4 linked regions of the Danio rerio genome follow. The protein of the gene in region 3 interacts with the protein of the main gene of each other region in a pairwise test. Links are inferred from orthologs where the notes say so. Each region holds a gene or a part of one and is shown on either strand. Other genes may lie near its edges. The genes, in order: fcho1, tfip11, exosc5 and tnfaip1.

Region 1 (4,343 bases), on a different chromosome or scaffold from region 3:
TTTAATCATTACACCTGACCACATCCATAATACATAATGCACATCACATCCAGTATAATATTATTGGATAAATTCAAACCACATACTATCAAAATAGTACCATTCATCTATGTGACTAATCTCTGCAATTAAGCAGTTTTGAGTAATGAGCCAGTGAGGGAAGACTAAGCCTAAACCTCTTTCTCCAAAAACAACATACACACATGCACACACTTCCACTTTTGCTATTACTGTCAAAAACCCCTGATGCAAAAATAGAACCAATTCTGAGGCTGTAATTACAGCAATTCCGCGGACCTGAGATCAGTCTGTCAATTTAAGGCAATAATGACAGAGCAGTTAGGATACTGATCCCAGGTCAGCTGGATGGCAGATTGCTGTGATTAAGGTGTCAGTCGGAGATGTGTGTTGTGGGATATTGACATCTATTAATGTGGACAGAGGAGGAGGTGGGAGACAGTGGCCATTGGAGACGGCTTACTCACAGGAACAATGCGTGAGTACTGAAAAATTGATGCTTTATGGTGTAACTCTAGCAGTCGGAGTGCAGAAATGAGCGTCTGCGGCGTGTGACTGACCTCTCTGGGGAACACTTTCCCCTTCCCCTTCAGATCGACCTGCTGAACTCGAATTTCCTGTTTCAGGAGAATATATGCATGAAAAAGAGCCCCACTAACATATATGCAGAATATGGTCATAGAGAGGAATGAAAGTGAACTCACGAGAGAGCTGCTTCTTTACTGACACCTACAGGATTAGATGAATCAAACAATGACAGGTTTGTGTTAAAGCCATGCATCATATTTGCTGTGACACTTTAAAAATAAGAAGTAATACTGTATTGATGACAATGTTGTCAAAACAACTAAAAACACCTACAAGCGCTCTATTATATATGACAGACATGTAGTTGTCACTTTGAAAAAGGATATACGCAGAAGGACTTTTAATTTTTCAGTAACCTGGGTCAAACGCTACTGGTGAAATGTATGCTGTTACAAAATCACCACGTTTAAGGTCTATTTCTTTAAAAATCAAAGATCTTTACAGCCTGATTAATATGCTATGTAAAGTGGGTCTTAGAATATGCAAGAAGCACTGCATTAAATTACATTTTTCCGCACCATGTCTTTAAAATATGAACATTTATTTTACCCCAATATTTTCAATTGAGTTTCTGTGCTATCCTGCTGATCCTGGCGGGGTATGCATGTAAAAGGTCTATTTAACTGATAATATATTTAATTATATTACAACATCTATGCTGTAAAAGGAACTGTATTAAATTTAAAAAAGGCACATTAACTATTCACTGGAAGTTTATCGGTATGGGAAAAACACCAGCTGTGTATATTGCCTATTAAACAGTACAGTATTCATCACCACTGAAGCTTTAGTTGTCAAGTGCATGTGTGTGATTATAGACTGAACGTAATATGCATGCATGTGACATAACTATTTTCATAAATTCTGCTTTTGAAGGTTACAATAAATAAAATAATAGTGTCATTTTTAAGAACCTGCCCTTGAAATCCTTTTTATGTCTATAAATAATAGTTGTGTAAATGAATGACAAAAACGCAGAAAATATTATAAAAAAAAACTTTTAAAACACATTAAAAATAATCAAGTAAATATAAAATTCATACATTTTGTGACAATAAATAAATAAATAAAATAAAATAAAATCACAATGGTCCATGACTTCATTTTGCTTTAATTATGTTTTAAAATGCTGTTCAATTAAAGGTTTCAGCATTAAATAGACATAAAACACAACCAAGATTTTAAGTTCTTATCAAAGTAAAGATCACAACCGCTGACAAGCACAGTGATCTGTTTTTCCTCAAAAGAGCTCATTTTAGGAGCCTAGAACTTAGTAAACATGTCTTTGTTTACAGAGGAGCCAGAAACATCATGTGCACTCTAACTGAAACCAAAGAATCACATTAGAGTGGTTTGTTTGCCTTGTTATGTGGAAAACAAATTAATTGGCATATGTAAAATGATTCATTTATTCTGAAACCAAAATGAGAGATTACAGAGACAATGACAGTATTATTCGACAAGTCCTGTGATCTCAATCAACATGTAATCTTAACCAACTTGTTCCATATCAGTTTTTGTTTCATATTTATATTATATAATATAATAAGCAATATTACACAAACAACGAGTGCAATATTCATTCATTTTTCCTCAACCCAGTCTGTTATTCATCAGGTGTTGCCACAACAGAATAAACCGCCAACTATTCCGCCACATGTTTTACGCAGCGGATGTCCTTCCGGCTGCAACCCAGTAAGGGGAAACACCTATACACTCTCGCATCTTAATTATTTTTGGTTTACTGTAATCAGTTACATACTGTACCCTTCTATTTATGAGACATTTTGTAAACTTAAGCACTGATATGTTGAGCAATTTTCGGTAAAAATGAATAAATGATTCGCATCACTCTTGATTTGGGCTGTTAAATCTCTTACCACTCTGTTTGGGGGCAGAGTCAACGCCCCCACTGTGGCCTTCAGCTCCTGCTCATTGGCTGCTGAGTTGCTGCGGTTGCTGCTGGCGACCGGGCGGATCTGGATGTGAAACTTCTTGGGTTCTTCGTCATCGAAATCCGAGTCACTGGAGTAAAAGTTTCCCTCCTTCTCCTCAGCAGCACAACGTAGAGAGCAACGGTGTTAAGGAGGAAATCAAGACACACACATGCACTCACACACAGATGCAAAGAGGGACAGGTGAACACTAGAAAACACTGGCTAAGACACAAATAGACACGAGTGTAAACATTTACACAAACACAGCTGTTATGAATAGTCTAGAAACAACAAGTGTAGAAATAGACATCGTATTTAGAGACCCTATAGAGTGTCATATGCTTTAAAATGGCTCATGATGAAGTCAATTAATCGGGAGCCTATAAGTGACATCTTCATCAGACAAATAGAAATGATGCAGTGGGCTGTGTATCCATCACTGTTTATTATCAGACAATGTAAGAGTCTCTGTTTCACATCCTGCTTTACTAAACCACATTTCCCGAAAATAACATCCTCTGTGTGTCTGTAATACCTTTGACACTGTGTAAAAAGGAGGGCAGATAAAAAAATATTTTCAAAAAGCTTATAGACCAGTATATGTGTATGTGAGTGAAAATCTGTTTTTACAAAACTATTTGTTGTGGTGTTGAATTTCCAGCCTTCAAACATCCTCAAAAAGCCAGGTTAAGAATCAAATAATTCCGAGTTCACACTGCATGATTTTAGCCCCAATTTTGACTCGCCGACAGGTTTTGAGAAATCGTCGACAAATGACTGAAATCACAGGCAAATCAGTGCTCTGTTCACATGAGTAACAATCACACAGTATGAACTATCAAAGGCGCGATCTGAAAGAATTGCCGATGAGTCGCCAACGCCTGTCAGCTATTTGGCATCCAAAATATCTGGTGCTGTCAACGACTCAAATCATGCCGTGTGAAATGTGTTCTGACTGAAAATAACATCAGCGATGACCTACAGCCAGTAAGAGAGCAAAGTTTGTAAGGTGCCCAAACTTCGTCTTATAAAGGGCCAAAAATCAAACTTGATTGAGAGCTGTGGGCCAAAGTTAAAGATATCAAACTGTATTAAATTAAATTTGCATATTTTTTAAAAATAACTAGAAGACGTTGCTTTAAACGTAATAAAACATGACGTGGATTAATTTTTAACGTTTTATAATGAACTTATTATAGTAAAAACATCCACAATCATATTTATAACACAATGGAGTTTAGAGCTGAATACACTAGTCGAGCTGCTCCTGCCTTTGCCTTGATTCGCTCGCCGATGTCTTGTGCATCTGCCAAGTGACAGTATTTACATTTTAAAAGTCTGATTTATTACAACGTTTAAATTAATCATTTAGTTCTAATTGGCTTTTTTGTAGCTCCTAATTTAAACAAAGTATCAAAAGGTTACATTCAATTCGAAATGACACCTCTGTCAAAGGCATTCGCCTCCAACCAACTCCCCATTGTTTTCCCTCACTTTTCAGAAGGTATGGCGGGCCAAACCAAAGGTTACCATGGGCCAACTCTGCCCCACGGGCCCTACTTTGGCCACCTCAGCTCTATACAACAATACCTTTTTTTGTATTAAATGAATATTCCAAAATAAAGATTGGATCCATTAAAAATTAAATTGTGCAATATTTTAAGAGGTGCACAATTTAAACTTGACAATCTGACAATTATTAAAGGGGATATTTGCCATTCAGTATTTCTTTGAACAATGTTACATTTATTTTACATACAGTATAATAATATATATAATAGAACATATATTACACTTAAC
Region 2 (4,343 bases), on a different chromosome or scaffold from region 3:
ACTTCTCTGAACCATATCTTGAGGGATCAAATGATGTATGAAACAATGCCATTTATTTTTCTGTAATAACTGCTCCTTTACTTTTCTAATAGAAATATTTCCTTTTTCAATTGTAAATCAGATTTAGTTTTCACTATTTTTTCCACCAGCTTATTAAACAGAAATACACAATAAAAATTTGTATAAAATAAAAATCTCTTCCTATATTAGTCTGATTAAAATGAAATGTGACACATCAGTAGGCGGTAGCTGAATGAAACGATCAACCATTAATTAAAGCACAAGTTTATTCAGCAGTATAAACAATATTGATAGACAAACAGTTTAAAGCAACACAGAACTAGATTAGAGAGCAATATTCAAACCTCCGCCTCATTTGGCCATGTCAATAAGACTCTGTAGTGATGTTGGAACCCAGGTTTTCTCACCTTGGACAAACACCACTCCACGCTCGATGTAGATGACTATTCTGCCAAATGTGAATAGCTGTTTGCCCATGTGCCGTTTGGCTACCAGTGGCATAAAGACGATGCCGTTCTCTTCGGCCTTGGCCTGTACTAGATCTTTAAAGTTGGTCGGTACAGATGCTGGCACCGCTGCCATTCCTGGTGGCCGTGTGGCAGAATTGTCCACTTCGCGCCGCTCTGGCTGAAGCTCGCATTGGAAATCCTTCCTTCTCTCTGTCTGAATCAGGTATGCAATGTTCTCTCTTGCTCCAGGTTGCATATAACCCCCTGCAAGGACAGCAAATGTATGAGAAGTTGAAGGTAGAATGGATGAATTAAGTGAACATTATTTTTTTAGCATGTGACTGACCGAGTCCAGAAGCAACGGCACGGTTCATGATGTCGAGGGCTTCGTTGAGTTTTTCTTTGACTAATGGGTGACTGAGCAGGTTCTCTGAGAGCAAGCCCTTCCAGCCCAGATACCATTTAGTGATCTCCTCATAGTTTGGGTTATTACTGAGCCAAGAGCACAACACCTGCAATAGGAGACAAAGAAACCGTGAACAAATGTAGTAGGAGTGCCTACAAAACATCAGTGTGTCATCCGGAGCCATGGCATTTAATGACTACTTTTATCAGCTAGAACTCTTTAATGTTCTCTTTTACTCTTTAGTGTTTAAAGACGAAAATGGCACCTACATTTAGGCATGAGCTGGTATAAGATTCTGACGGTATAATAACCTTGGATAAAAATATCCCGGTTTGACAGTATTGTGATTACTGTGCAGCAGAAAATGTTGACGGTTTTAAAACCTTAACTTTTCCAAACCGCAGCTTACTTTGAAAACAATTATCATCCCATGCCTTCCTACATCTTGGATGAAAGTTTTATTTGAGTGAACTATCCGAGCTAAAAACATTCTTAACCTTTGTGTACTTTTCGAGTATACTGCCCTTTTGTTATGTTTGTGGCTGTTTTAGCATCATTGACTTCCATTATAATTACATTTTTATTTTGTTGCGAAGCCATGACACCATATAATCATGCATTCTTGATTGTTGGTGGTTTACCCTGTTGGGATAAGGTAAATGTGTCATTTTTACTGATGAACATCAGTTGGCAGCATTAACACTTTAGATAGGCATGTGCAAAAAATTATTGTTTAGATTATTGTGTGTGTGTGTGTGTGTGTGTGTATAAATACTCTTAATATGTTTACTATTTTCTGAGAGCTGAGCTGCTTATTTTGATTTTCTCAAACATATTAAGAAAAATGTGCAAAGGTGTCTCTCTCACACACACTAGTATAGAAGACAGAAACTGAGCTTTTTTTTTGCTCTTCAATTAATGATCAACAGTAAAAAAATTAAATTGCACCTCTTTCCAAGAGGGGAAAACCACCAACAACAATTAAGAATGCATGATTATATGGTGTCATGGCTTTGCAATTTTTGGCTTTGCAAAAATATGATTATAATGTAAGTCAATAGGAAAAAACAGAAACAGAAATAATGAAAGGGTAGCAAATTTTCCCAAGGTGTATTTTTAAACATTTTCAAAGCATTTTCCCAAAATATGTGTCAAAAAATTTGTCACCAAAAATGATTCCATTTGTTGTAACACAGACAAAGTTTTGGCCAACTTACGACTCAAAAAGCACCACAGAGTGAATGAAAACATCCCCAACAGTACACAACAGTCTTTCATGTTTTGTCCCAATCCCAAAGAAATACAAGCTATGCTAATGCATTACACTGACTAACCCATCTTTCACACCGCGAGCAGAGCTTAAGCAGCGCGTGTTTTTTCGGCGTCCATGTTAACAGATTAGAGCTTTCATACTGCACGCAGAAGCAGCATGTCAGCGTGGAGCGTGAGCGATAGTTTCAGTGCTGGGTCTATTTTTGCCATGCTGCTCACGCTCAATTAAAGTGACAGTGGATTGATAACGACCAAAAACACATTGAATGACCGTAAAAAGTAGCAATTTTACCCAATAAATGCATCGATAATGTCCCCAGATTTTTATATATTCAATTAAATGAACTTAAACAACTTAAACAGTGCAATAACTGCTGATGCACTGCGTGCTGCTGACAGAGCTACTGTGAAAGGCAAACGCCTGTGCGCTACATCTGCTCTCAATCTGCTCTGTGCACGTGCTGCTTATGCTCTGCTCTCGCTTACAATGTGAAACAGGCATAACTGTAAAACTCTGTAAGGCTGACCTGTAGCCATTTGGGGAAGAAATTTTTATCCAGGAGTCCGACCATGGAAGAGACAGAGAGCATACATTCCCAGTCCATCACCCAGTTAAATGGATCGAGCAACTGCTGATGAGGATTGACCACTAGCTCTCCTAAACACAAAGCTGAAACACAGGAGAAAAACCTTCACATGCCATCCAAGTCTCCCAAAGTCTGACAGTCTAGCAAAAAAGCACATACCCAGTTTGGGGACAATATTTTTGACCATGAAGGCCTCCCAGGCGCCGGGTGTGAAGACATCTCTCCAGGGTTGCAGAATGAGTCTGGCGGAGGAATCGCTGGGGTGCCAGCGCTGCAGAGCATGGGCTAGTTTACTACGGATGGGTGCATACAGCGGCTCAAGACGGGTTTGCATAAGAGGTAGCCAGGGATGAATCCATGAATGAATGGGCACTGTGTCGGTCAGTGGGTTCCAGTTGTCCACCTATTTAAAAAAAAAAAAAGTTACATCTTTATAGAAACACTTGGTTCTGTTTACATCTGGTATTAGGATGTTTTCATCATTCTGATCACAGGTGGACATGGCTTTATACAGGTGTAGACAAAGACTAAAATGTTTTAAGATTTTCCACTTTCGTCCACATCCAAAGGTAGTTGAGAACACATAAAATCGGACCGTTTTGTAGTGTTGACATTCATGTGGTCAAATTCATCATCATTCAACAGGCACTAAAAATTAAGTTTTGTTTTTTTGCAAAAAACATTTTTGACAATTTATTGTCATACTGACATCTTAAAGCTAAAAGGAGCTCTTAACTTGATGATTTAGGAGAGAATCTTACTTCTAAATAATAGATTTAAATGGAGTTTCTGTCCTAAATTTAGGACTCCAACATTTCACTCATAGTATTTCACAAAAGCTTTTTCAAAACACTAGCTCCTAAATTAATGAAACATTAGGAGTAGTGAAGAGGACTCCTAAGTCACAAAGTTCTTATATGGTTAGAAATTAGTTTTTAAATATTTATTAATTTATTTTTTTTAATGGCTAGAATAAAACATTTGCACATATGTTCTATAAATATAAATTTGGCCATTCTCTATCATTTAAAATATTTACAAATATTTAAAAGCATTTAAAAATATTTATTCAAAGAAAATACTTACATCAATAATTCTCTTTTTTGAATATGCGCCCTGAATTATGACTTTATTGCGGATTCTTTTCAGAGAGATCTAAAATATTAGTAAATATGAATTTAAACGTAGACAGTCATACATCTACATGTTAAAATTGTACAAATGCCAATGTATTAAATTTGTGTTTAACGCCATGCTAGATTTAATGGCCTTTTTCATGCTTTTTGATGCTTGTTTGTTTCATGAGTGTCAATGTATTAATAATGCATGGTAATAAGATTAATATTATTATATATTTATTTATTTATCTATTTATATTTACAACTGATAATATAATACATTTCACTGTTTATATATGTATTCAGTATATTTGAAAATAGCTAAATGTTGAGTATATTAAAAATGAGTATATCACTTTAAAAAGGGATGTTTTTAGACTATAATAAGTTGAAACAGGTTGAAAATGGCCTAAAAGTGTACAAATAAACACCTAAATGTCAAGAGTGGACAACAATGTGTCTCCTTTGTCTACCAGTAATCTGATCGACC
Region 3 (4,992 bases):
GTCTATTGTTGAGGTTTTTTTTTTTTTTTTTTTTTAAATTGCAAAAATTTGTCAAAATAAAATGTCACCAAAATCATTCCGCTTGCTGAAACAAGTTGTGGCCAAATTAAGACTCAAAATAACCCCAGAGTGGATGAAAACATTCCTAACAAGCGTTAAAACATAATAAAATTGAAGAGTATTAAAAGAAGCCAATTATTCAAATCTTCAATTTTTTTGTACGTTTAGTCTATATTGCCACTTTTTTCGTTTTAATACATTCATTGTAATAAAACATACTAATCTTTAATACTCAACCCTAAATATTCAAAACAAACTCCTCCCTTCAACGGTAAGTGACTAAAAAGTTCAAACAATAAAACCACGGACACATCATATTTGCCCCCTCTTCATTTTGCATTTATAAAGAAGAGTTTTGCTGGTGTTGAGGATACAGATCCATCATCGTGGACGACCTGCAGGATGACCGTGAGAGAAGAGCGTGGATGAAGGGTCAACAGAAGGGCAGCTTCACAAGTCTCACGGACACACTGCTCTCTCGCTCGCTCGCGGACACCTAACACAACACATCGCACCACAGTATGAGGAAGTTTAAAAAAATACTGTACCAGACTGACACCTAATGCTGAAACATGGCTGTGCAGGCCATGCAATTATAACTATGTTTACTATTCTAGTATGAGCTGTATATGTGTATTATTAAACATTAATAATAATAATAATTAGTAATAATAAAACACTGACTAAATAAAAACAATTTACATAAACGACACACATTTTTTATGGCATAACATTTTCTTCCTGACATGTAGTTTTAAGACTCCCTTTAAACAGTTTATACTCATGTAGGTAATTGTTTCTTATATTATATTAAATAAAAAAGTGACAAACAATTCATATTTATGTTGCATTAGTCTGTGTTATATTGGGTGTAATTAGTAACTAGTAACAAAGTGGCTAGTGTTTGGTCTGGGACATATTAGGTGTAATTAATTACAAAGTAACGTGTTACTGTAATTACTTTTGTACTGAAAATGTAAAGTAGTAGGTTACTTTTCATGGATGGGTAATTTAATTGCAGTTACTTCTAACATACTTGCCTTAAATACTGTAAATAAGTCCAACAGTTTTGAATAAATCAATTCAAAAAAGCAGAAGGAAATGTGTCCAACAACTTCACATACTTAAGAAACAATGAAATGTTTTAGAAATGCATGCCAATATATCAAAATATTAGTCATCTGCATACAGTACAAGCTACTTTTTACTCAGTTAAATTCATTGAACTGAATATAGATTGGATCCATTCAAAATTCAAATGTCTAACATTTTAAGAGAGGCACGTTTTAAGACAAAAAAAAGCAATATGACAATGTTCAAAGGTGATTAGGGGATTTTCTTTTAATAACACTAAACAATTTTGCTATAATAGAACTTTCCTGAAATAACCGAAAAAAGCCAGTGCAGTTTGCTATCTGTAAATTATACATATTTCTGCTTTAAAAAAAAAAAAACTAAATCTTTTTTTTTTTTTTTGAACAAGAAAGATGTTTTATCCCAAACTAACCCAAACTAATGGTGCACACCAGCTGCTTTTCCAGTGCACAACTGGCATAATGCACATAAAAGATTCATGCCTGATATTTGTATATATATTGTATTTTGTTATTTTGTAAAAACTTTAGATTGTTCAAAAGATGTGCAATGCGTTTCTATTATTTAATTATTAATTATCTGTATCAGTCTTTCACATTATAGCTGATATGCTAAATGCAGACAGATTTAAGTTAATCCAACATCAGTGCAATGATAATAATACAAAGCAAAAAATAAATAGATGAATATACATGTAGACATGTAGATCTCACACACTTTTTCATATCGATTTTTTTAAAGAAAATGATTCTGTTCATCAAGGCAGCATTTATTAAGTAAAAAAAAATAAAAAAAATTAATTAATAACTGCTTTCTTATTGTGTGTAGTTTCAAATGAAGTTATTATTCCAGACTTTACTACTTTTATTACTATTACCATTACCCCCATAATAACAGCAATAATAATAACAATTTATATCAGAGCGATTACTGAAAGATCACATGACTCTGAAGACTAAAGGAAGCTGACAATTTATGTGTAAAATCACTGGAATAAATGATTTTATATAAAATATAATTTATTATTTTATAGTGCAATAACATATCACAATTGTCCTATATGTCCTGTATTTTTGTTTAAATAAATGCAGCTTTGGTGAGCAGAACAAGCTTATTTTAAAACATTTAAAAATCCTACTGACCCCAAAATTTTGACCAGTAGTGTAAATGTACAGTTGAAGTCAGAACTATTAACCCCCATTTGATTGTTTTTAAAAATATTTCCCAAATGAAGTTTAACAGATTTCACAGTATGTCTGATAATATTTTTTCTTCTGGAGAAAGTCTTATTTGTTTTATTTCGGCAAGAATAAAAGCAGTTTTTAAATTATTTAAAACAATTTTAAGATCAAAATTATTAGTCTCTTTGTTTTTTTTTTTTTTTTTTTGTTTTTTTTTGTTTTTGATAATCTTCAGAAAAAACTATCGTTATACAATAACTTGCCTAATTATCCTAACCTGCCTAGTTAACCAAATTAACCTAGTTAAGCCTTTAAATGTCACTTTAAGCTGGATAAAAGTGTCTTGAAAAATATCTAGTCAAATATTATTTACTGTCATCATGGCAAAGATAAGATAAATCCATTTTTAGAAATGAGTTATTACAACTAATATGTTTAGAAATGTGTTGAAAAAATCTTTCAAATATGTTGATTTGTTGAAGATAAAGGTAATTTTTTATAAATTTGTAATATTGTCATAACATGACATATAACATTAAATTAATTAAAACTAAACTCCATTCCAATGACGCGATTAAATATATATATTTGCATGTACACGTTTTTATTAAAAAATATTAATAAATAATGCAATTACTGTCAAAATATGGCTGCAAATAAAACTGTTTAAAAACATACTTGGAAGCCCCATTTTGGGCTGTATAAGGACCTCTACAGTTGCCCGATCATATATTTCCTTGCTGACTTTAACCTCAGCTGGTCCATAAACTCCAGCCAGGATACTCGTGTCCCCTAAAAACACATTTACAAATTCAAAACGATACATATTTAAATGAATGGAATAGATCTCTGGATATTCTTTGGCCTGACAGATAAATAACTGCTATGACATGAGTAAAGAAATAAATTACATTAAACATTTATAAATTACCTTGTACAAACGTGGACGACCCGTCAGGTCTTGATAACAAACTCTGTTCACTTCCATATTCTCTTAAAACTGGACAACTTCGCTCCAGCTCCATCTCGGTCCTCATGCACAATCTGCTCGTCGCATCCATAAATGGGTCATTGTTTTGAGCGCACAATAATGACGACATGACACATGTTAGCAGTGCACTTACGCCCTCTAACGGAATTAAGGATGTAATGACACATGTATAGCGACTTTATAAGCACGTTTCTGCTTGTTCCTTTTAGTTATACACACTACCGTGACCCCAATCAAATTTAAAATGTACATAAAAGGATACATTTCTCAGACAAAACCGTAAAAATGAGGAGTAACATTTTTCCTGTAGGGGGCGCAGTGTGTTGGATTTCCAGAGACGAGGAGGGAAAAGACGCTAGAGACACGCACTTGACGTAAAGATGGCGGCTGCTAGAGCTGTGAAGAAATTATATGGCATTGGGCTTCATGCAATTCGTCAAAACACAGCATTAAAAGCAACAACGCTTCTCCAACAAAGGGGATTCCGCGTCAATGTAAGTCTTACGTTTATGGCAGCTGCATATACGCCACCAACGGACTTTTAACATTAGCAAAACTTGCCATTCAGGTTGTATGAAGTGTGTGTAGCCGTGGGAGACCGAAAACATTTCCTAGAATTGTATGAGACTAATATTAACAACATCTGTATAAAGACGTTTTATGCTAGTTTCAAACATAAAAGCTACTGAACTGTCTTAATAATGTAAATGCTAATGTATAAGTTAGGTGTTCCTCATCTGACCTACAAAAGAAATAGTGCTCAATGTCACATGGTCATGATTGTTTTAAATGCAATAACTAGTGGTCAGATGTCTGAAGATTGTTGTAGGTAACAGTTAATGGATCCTTCAACCTTCACATGTCTGTGGATTTATACTCAGAGCTGATTGGCTAGTTGAAGGGGGCGTGTGGATGAAAAAAACAACACTAATCCTGACTGTTATGGGTCATTAAAAAATCTTTACATTTTACAACTTATTTGCATTATTAAATTGTTTCATATTTAAAGTGGATCTTAATTATGAGCTAATGTCTTGTGCACATTTAAATTACAGGTGATAGTAAATTCTTCTCATGCGAATATGTGACTTTATCAATATGCAAACCACATACACACAAATTTAAAGAGAATTAACTTTTTATGCAGTGTACATCCCTAGCTTAGGGTAATTCACTTTATTCCCTGCCAGTTTTTGGGGAAGTTACTTTGACAGGGTATCCACAGAGTCTTAAAATGTTTTACATTTTCAAAATAAAATTTTAGTCCTTAAAAAGTTCTAAATTTGCTGAAATATTGAATTGTAGGTCTTAAATCATTACAAATAGGTTGTAATTTTCTAATATCCATGTAAAGCTTCCCAAATCAGGCCAACACCTGTATACAGTATACACTCACCAATAACACACCCCAATAAAACTTTTAACAAAACTCTATTTAACAATATGGTTCCTCATAATAACTTTTTTATGTTCTCCGGGGATTTGTAGACCATATGTGGCGGGGACACTGACCTTAAAAAGACTATTGTACATTTAGGTTAATAAAGTTTTTAAAGCTTGTCAAAGAAAAGTATGTATGGTTTGCTTGTTTTGACACATTTAAGTATTAAGTAATTAGATTTTTTTTTAATGAGGCAAGCACAAATCTTTACGGTTTAGTCCTGT
Region 4 (4,786 bases), on a different chromosome or scaffold from region 3:
ACAAAATAAATGATATGAATAGATAGATTATAGATGGATGGATGGGTGGGTGGATATACTTATGAATAAAATGCAGTTTTCACATTTACCTTATAGCATATCAAGACAAGCTAGAAAAGCATGACATATCAAATAAGATTCAAATATGAAACTAAATATGCAATTTTCTCATAACGGTTTGATTTAAGTATAGATTCAGTCTATTGGGAATGTTATTAAACCAGTGTTTGTTTTTATTGATTATTATAGGTGTTTTATAAAGGCTGGGATGTAGAGGTAGTATAATAGTACAAGGACAGAGATTCACATTATATATTTGACATAACATATAAGTTATAGCATGAATGTAATTTGGGCATATATTTTAAATTAAAAGTCTATTTATGAAATTGAGAGTATTTGTAATCCAACTCTGTTTTAATCTTTTGGCCAATTTATTGTGCTAATTATATACATTTAATATATTATTATAATATTTAAAATGATACACATTTGCTTGCTGAATATATAACCAAAGTCATAGCTCATATGTCACACACATAACACAATGTTGCCTGACTTCATTCAAACCACACCAGCACCTGTCAACCTTTCCTAACTACTGAAGAATCCAGCCACTTCTTGTCGTTCATTCATCGCCATATTACAGTAGTTACATGTCAGAATGTAAAAACGCAGGTCAGTTTCCATAACGGAATGACCGGCTTTCTGAATTTTTCCTGTCATGCAGGAATGTCAGGCGGTCAAATGAAGCTCTCACCTGGCTCTTCTGCTGCTGCTGAAGCCTTTCCTGCAGTATCGCCTGTGCCAGTCCCCCTGTTGCGCTGCTACTGGACGTGTCAGCGGATAAAGGCCGGACGACATCCAGCAGCGGAGGGGCCGTGGAGCAACGGGCCCCCTGCCTCAGTCTGAGCAGGCCCCGGCTCGCCCGGACACACATGGGATACACAGACACCGCCGACATCTTGAATATGATGCAGTTCGTACCCGGAGCGCGAGTGGAAAGGACAAACGATTTTGATTGGTTACGTCTATTGTGATTGGCAGGTGCAGAGAGCCAATCGAGTCTGTCGACTATTCCGTAAAGGCGGGTATTTTAATGTCGTCACGGGCTGCGTCAAAAGCAGCTAAAAGTCCCAATATTTTTTTTATTAGGAATGTTATTTTAACAGTGTTTGTTTTTATTAATTATTATATGTGTTCTATAAAGGCTAAGATGTAGAGGTAGAATAACAGTACAAAAACGGAGATTCACATTGTATGTTGCAATAATTCGAGAACATACAATGTCATTTTGGGTATACAATTCAAAATAAAAGTCTACTTATGAAATTGTTACAACTTGTGGTGTTAAGTTAAAACCATGGGTAAACATAAATATAGCTATATTAATATTAATTAGCTATCAAATGAAGAAGTTTTTAAATCTAAATATTACTTTTTTTAAAGTATTACTTTGTAATCTTTTTCTATATATGCTATACATAATATAAATCGCCTTTTATATATTCCATTTACTGTATATATGATATCTATACTATATATACTTATTACCATTTTGTTTGCTTTGCGTATTCATATTGTTTACATTTGTAAGTCGCTTTAGATTAAAGCATTTGTCTAAATAAAAATAAAACCTAGCATAAATGTACATTTTTTTAATCTCAGGGCTTTATCTTTTGTTGACTGTCCCTGCACTAGCCAATGGGTGGCAGTAGATCATTAATACGGTTTAACCTGTTGCTGTTGATCTTTCAACGAAGAAGAGCCATCCATCACATTTGTTAGCCATCGCCCTGAAGGTAGATGTGAAAGGTATTTTCCCTGTTTTTAAATGGTCTGATAGAACTGTTTATGCGTTTCTTTTTCAAATATGGTTGAAGTAAAACAGCGGAGTTGAAGAACTGTCGACTTCAGTTACTCGCCGACGAGTTATACTGCGGCAGAGCGGGTGAGTTTTACGCGTCGAAAAGTTTTTTCATGGTAATAACCTGTTCTAAACTTTGTTGTTTTGAATTAAATAAGCTGAAGTATTTTAAAACTAGCATTAACCCTAACTAAAGCTCTGAGGTGTTTTGTTATTGCGCCTTTTAGTCGTGAAATTAGCACAATAGAAACATTAGCAGAAACGTTTGCTCAAAAGCGTTGCCAATCTGTAAAACACACAAGATCAAGATTTTCTTTAAACTAAAAGAATTTAATATATTGTCAATAAAGATATACACAATGTGAACTGAATATTTGGCAAGTTTAAATTTGTTATCATGGCCAGTTGTAAATAAATATCAATTTATTTTAAGTAGCCTCCATGTTTTTCACTGACTTGTGTGAGGAGAAATGTTTAAATTTCAGGTCTGTTTTGGACAAAGAATTGTTATCATAAACAGTTGGAATTCATTATGTTTCAACTTTGCAACCCTGATGTTACTTCTTCTTTATCCCTTTTTTATTGATATAAAATGTATTTTCAAATTGCACTTGAACTATTCTGAATATGTAATTGTATGAAATTAAGATTGTTTAATCTGCAAATTATGATGATTAACCTCATTTAAATTTAATTATTTTGAATTTATAACTCACAATTGCTCAAACAGTTCAAGAATAGTGTAAAGTGTCTGTAAAGTGACCAATTTTCAATATGTCTTAATTCTTATTTTAAAAAATAAATTGTTTTTCTTTGGGGTCTTTAAAGTTCTTGAAAAAGTGTAGTTTCTTTAGTAATAACTGTATTTATATATGTATGTTGATTTATTTTTCTGTAAACATGTATATTTTCATTTCATTTAAATTAAATTTAGATTTTGACTTCTAACAATTCTGAAAAAAAAATTGTAGAAGTAAAACAATTATAGCATCATATACTGTCACCTTTTTAAAAACATTTTTGGGTCATATGGTCCACTTGTTTTAAATATTCACAATTTCAAAATTAACCAAAATAATCACAATTGTTTTTTTTTTTTTTTCATGTTCAAGCAGGGTCAAAAAAGGCACCCACATATGTAATAAGTGTTCAAAAGATCCTTCTGTATTGCTTTAGTTAATGTGTAGCATGTAGGTTTGGCATCACGATCAGCCTGGCCAGCAGCATTCACCACGGCAGGGGAAATCAGACCCATCGTGTGCAGGGTGGTTATCTACCTACAGAGGGACATGTCAGGAGAGAGCTGCCTGCACCAGCTTCAGCCACACACCGGGCCCATCCTGCCAGTCTCTTCAGTGGGCTGCCCCAAGACTAACACCTGCACCTACCGTGGTGTGACCGGAAATAAGTACGTTCAGCTCAATGTTGGTGGAAATCTGTACTACTCCACACTGCAGGTGCTCACTAGACAGGACACCCTGCTGAGATCCATGTTCAGCGGCAAGATGGAGGTGCTCACAGATAAGGAAGGTGAGTTATTTAAACAGCCCTGAGAGAAGATGCAACCTCTTCAGCCTTGGCTCAATGTGGTTTTTTTTTTTTTTTTTAGGTTGGATCCTAATAGATCGCTGTGGGAAACACTTTGGCTCCATTCTCAGCTATCTCCGTGATGGATTTGTGAATTTGCCAAAAAGCAGACAGAGCATCATGGAGCTCCTAGCAGAGGCCAAGTATTACCAGATTCAGGGCTTGATAGACTTGTGCCAGAAGGAGCTACAGGTTGGTTAAGTCACATAAAACCTCCTTTTTAATAGGCTATACACTTGTATTGGCCTAGTTTACATCTGGTATTAAAGGGGACCTATTATGCCCCTTTTTAAAAGATGTAAACTAAGACTCTGATGTCTCTTTAGTGTGTATGTGAAGTTTCTGCTCTAAATACCCCACAGATAATGTTTTATAACTCCTTAAAACTGTCTCTTTTAGGCTTTGATTGTAATTGTGCTGCTTTGGTGACTGTCGCTTTAAATTCAAATGAGGCAGGGCTTTCCCCCTCTGATGACATGTACAAAGGGAGAAGGTCAATTAAAATCTATTTTTATGAAGTGTGATTATAAAAAACAAAATGAATATATTTTTTTATTAGAAGCTGGTTATGTTCATAAACCTCTCATTAAAGTGATTTTTGTATAATAGGTTCCCTTTAAAGTTTCCGTGAAGTGCTTTGAAACATGCATTTGTGTTTGACGTGGGACATAATTTGAACTAAAACATAAAAACAGGGTGGGACCGTGTAGTGCCCTTCTTCTTAAAAAAAAAAAAAAAAAAAAAAAAAAAAAAAGCATTTTGTTTTTTCACAGCTCTGCCAGTGAGAGCAATAGTGCCTCAAGGGGGAGATTCCAATAATAAGGGGGCATAAGATGTCAGATGTGTACTAGAAAGCATTTGATTGGTCATAAGATTTGATGAAACAGTGAGCTGGGGTCCGTTCTTCGTATGTGGATTACTCAATTAGCAGGATTTGGATGTTGACGATTTGACGTGATCCAGGATCGTTTCGTTCTTCAAAACTCATCTGAGATTTGTTGTCATAGTAACAGTTGGTAGCTCAAACCTGCGTAGGAGCAGGCTCATTCATATAAACATGATTAGATTGGGTCAGTTCAAGCAAAGATAATATTGAAAGTATCTACCAAATGCTGATATTTTCTTACAGTAGTAGTTATATACACTTGGGAAAATAAAATCTATATATTAATAACATTTTTGCAATCTGCACTTCGAAATAAAAGTAAAAGACTGCCACCTGGTGGTTCAAAGAGAACATTTATTGATATTAACTTTTTAGATGCAAACGCATACATGCACATTATTCAACTTTTATAAAAAAAAAAATTTAAAAAAGGATAATAATTTATG

The links.
Region 1: the proteins of exosc5 (region 3) and fcho1 interact in binary tests that used the Homo sapiens proteins (3 or more experiments, as listed by UniProt). The two-hybrid records come from large-scale screens. The link is inferred for Danio rerio from reciprocal best matches to the Homo sapiens genes EXOSC5 and FCHO1.
Region 2: the proteins of exosc5 (region 3) and tfip11 interact in binary tests that used the Homo sapiens proteins (3 or more experiments, as listed by UniProt). The link is inferred for Danio rerio from reciprocal best matches to the Homo sapiens genes EXOSC5 and TFIP11.
Region 4: the proteins of exosc5 (region 3) and tnfaip1 interact in binary tests that used the Homo sapiens proteins (3 or more experiments, as listed by UniProt). The two-hybrid records come from large-scale screens. The link is inferred for Danio rerio from reciprocal best matches to the Homo sapiens genes EXOSC5 and TNFAIP1.

What each region holds. Positions count from the first base shown.
Region 1 is NC_133183.1:21,920,770-21,925,112, reverse strand, and holds part of fcho1 (f-BAR domain only protein 1), read right to left. Parts: intron 2,672-4,343; coding exon 2,487-2,671; intron 748-2,486; coding exon 723-747; intron 636-722; coding exon 579-635; intron 1-578. UniProt on the Homo sapiens protein: Functions in an early step of clathrin-mediated endocytosis. Has both a membrane binding/bending activity and the ability to recruit proteins essential to the formation of functional clathrin-coated pits.
Region 2 is NC_133198.1:20,749,779-20,754,121, forward strand, and holds the end of tfip11 (tuftelin-interacting protein 11), read right to left. Parts: intron 3,139-4,343; coding exon 2,895-3,138; intron 2,819-2,894; coding exon 2,676-2,818; intron 983-2,675; coding exon 817-982; intron 735-816; coding exon 373-734; 3' UTR 270-372; downstream 1-269. UniProt on the Homo sapiens protein: Involved in pre-mRNA splicing, specifically in spliceosome disassembly during late-stage splicing events. Intron turnover seems to proceed through reactions in two lariat-intron associated complexes termed Intron Large (IL) and Intron Small (IS).
Region 3 is NC_133193.1:38,983,240-38,988,231, forward strand, and holds the start of exosc5 (exosome complex component RRP46), read right to left. Parts: upstream 3,402-4,992; 5' UTR 3,398-3,401; coding exon 3,268-3,397; intron 3,129-3,267; coding exon 3,015-3,128; intron 557-3,014; coding exon 435-556; intron 1-434. Other genes in the region: bckdha (2-oxoisovalerate dehydrogenase subunit alpha, mitochondrial), read left to right, coding at 3,708-3,821. UniProt on the Homo sapiens protein: Non-catalytic component of the RNA exosome complex which has 3'->5' exoribonuclease activity and participates in a multitude of cellular RNA processing and degradation events.
Region 4 is NC_133190.1:23,021,902-23,026,687, forward strand, and holds the start of tnfaip1 (BTB/POZ domain-containing adapter for CUL3-mediated RhoA degradation protein 2), read left to right. Parts: upstream 1-1,748; 5' UTR 1,749-1,802; exon of another isoform or gene 1,803-1,951; intron 1,952-3,043; 5' UTR 3,044-3,156; coding exon 3,157-3,397; intron 3,398-3,476; coding exon 3,477-3,646; intron 3,647-4,786. UniProt on the Homo sapiens protein: Substrate-specific adapter of a BCR (BTB-CUL3-RBX1) E3 ubiquitin-protein ligase complex involved in regulation of cytoskeleton structure.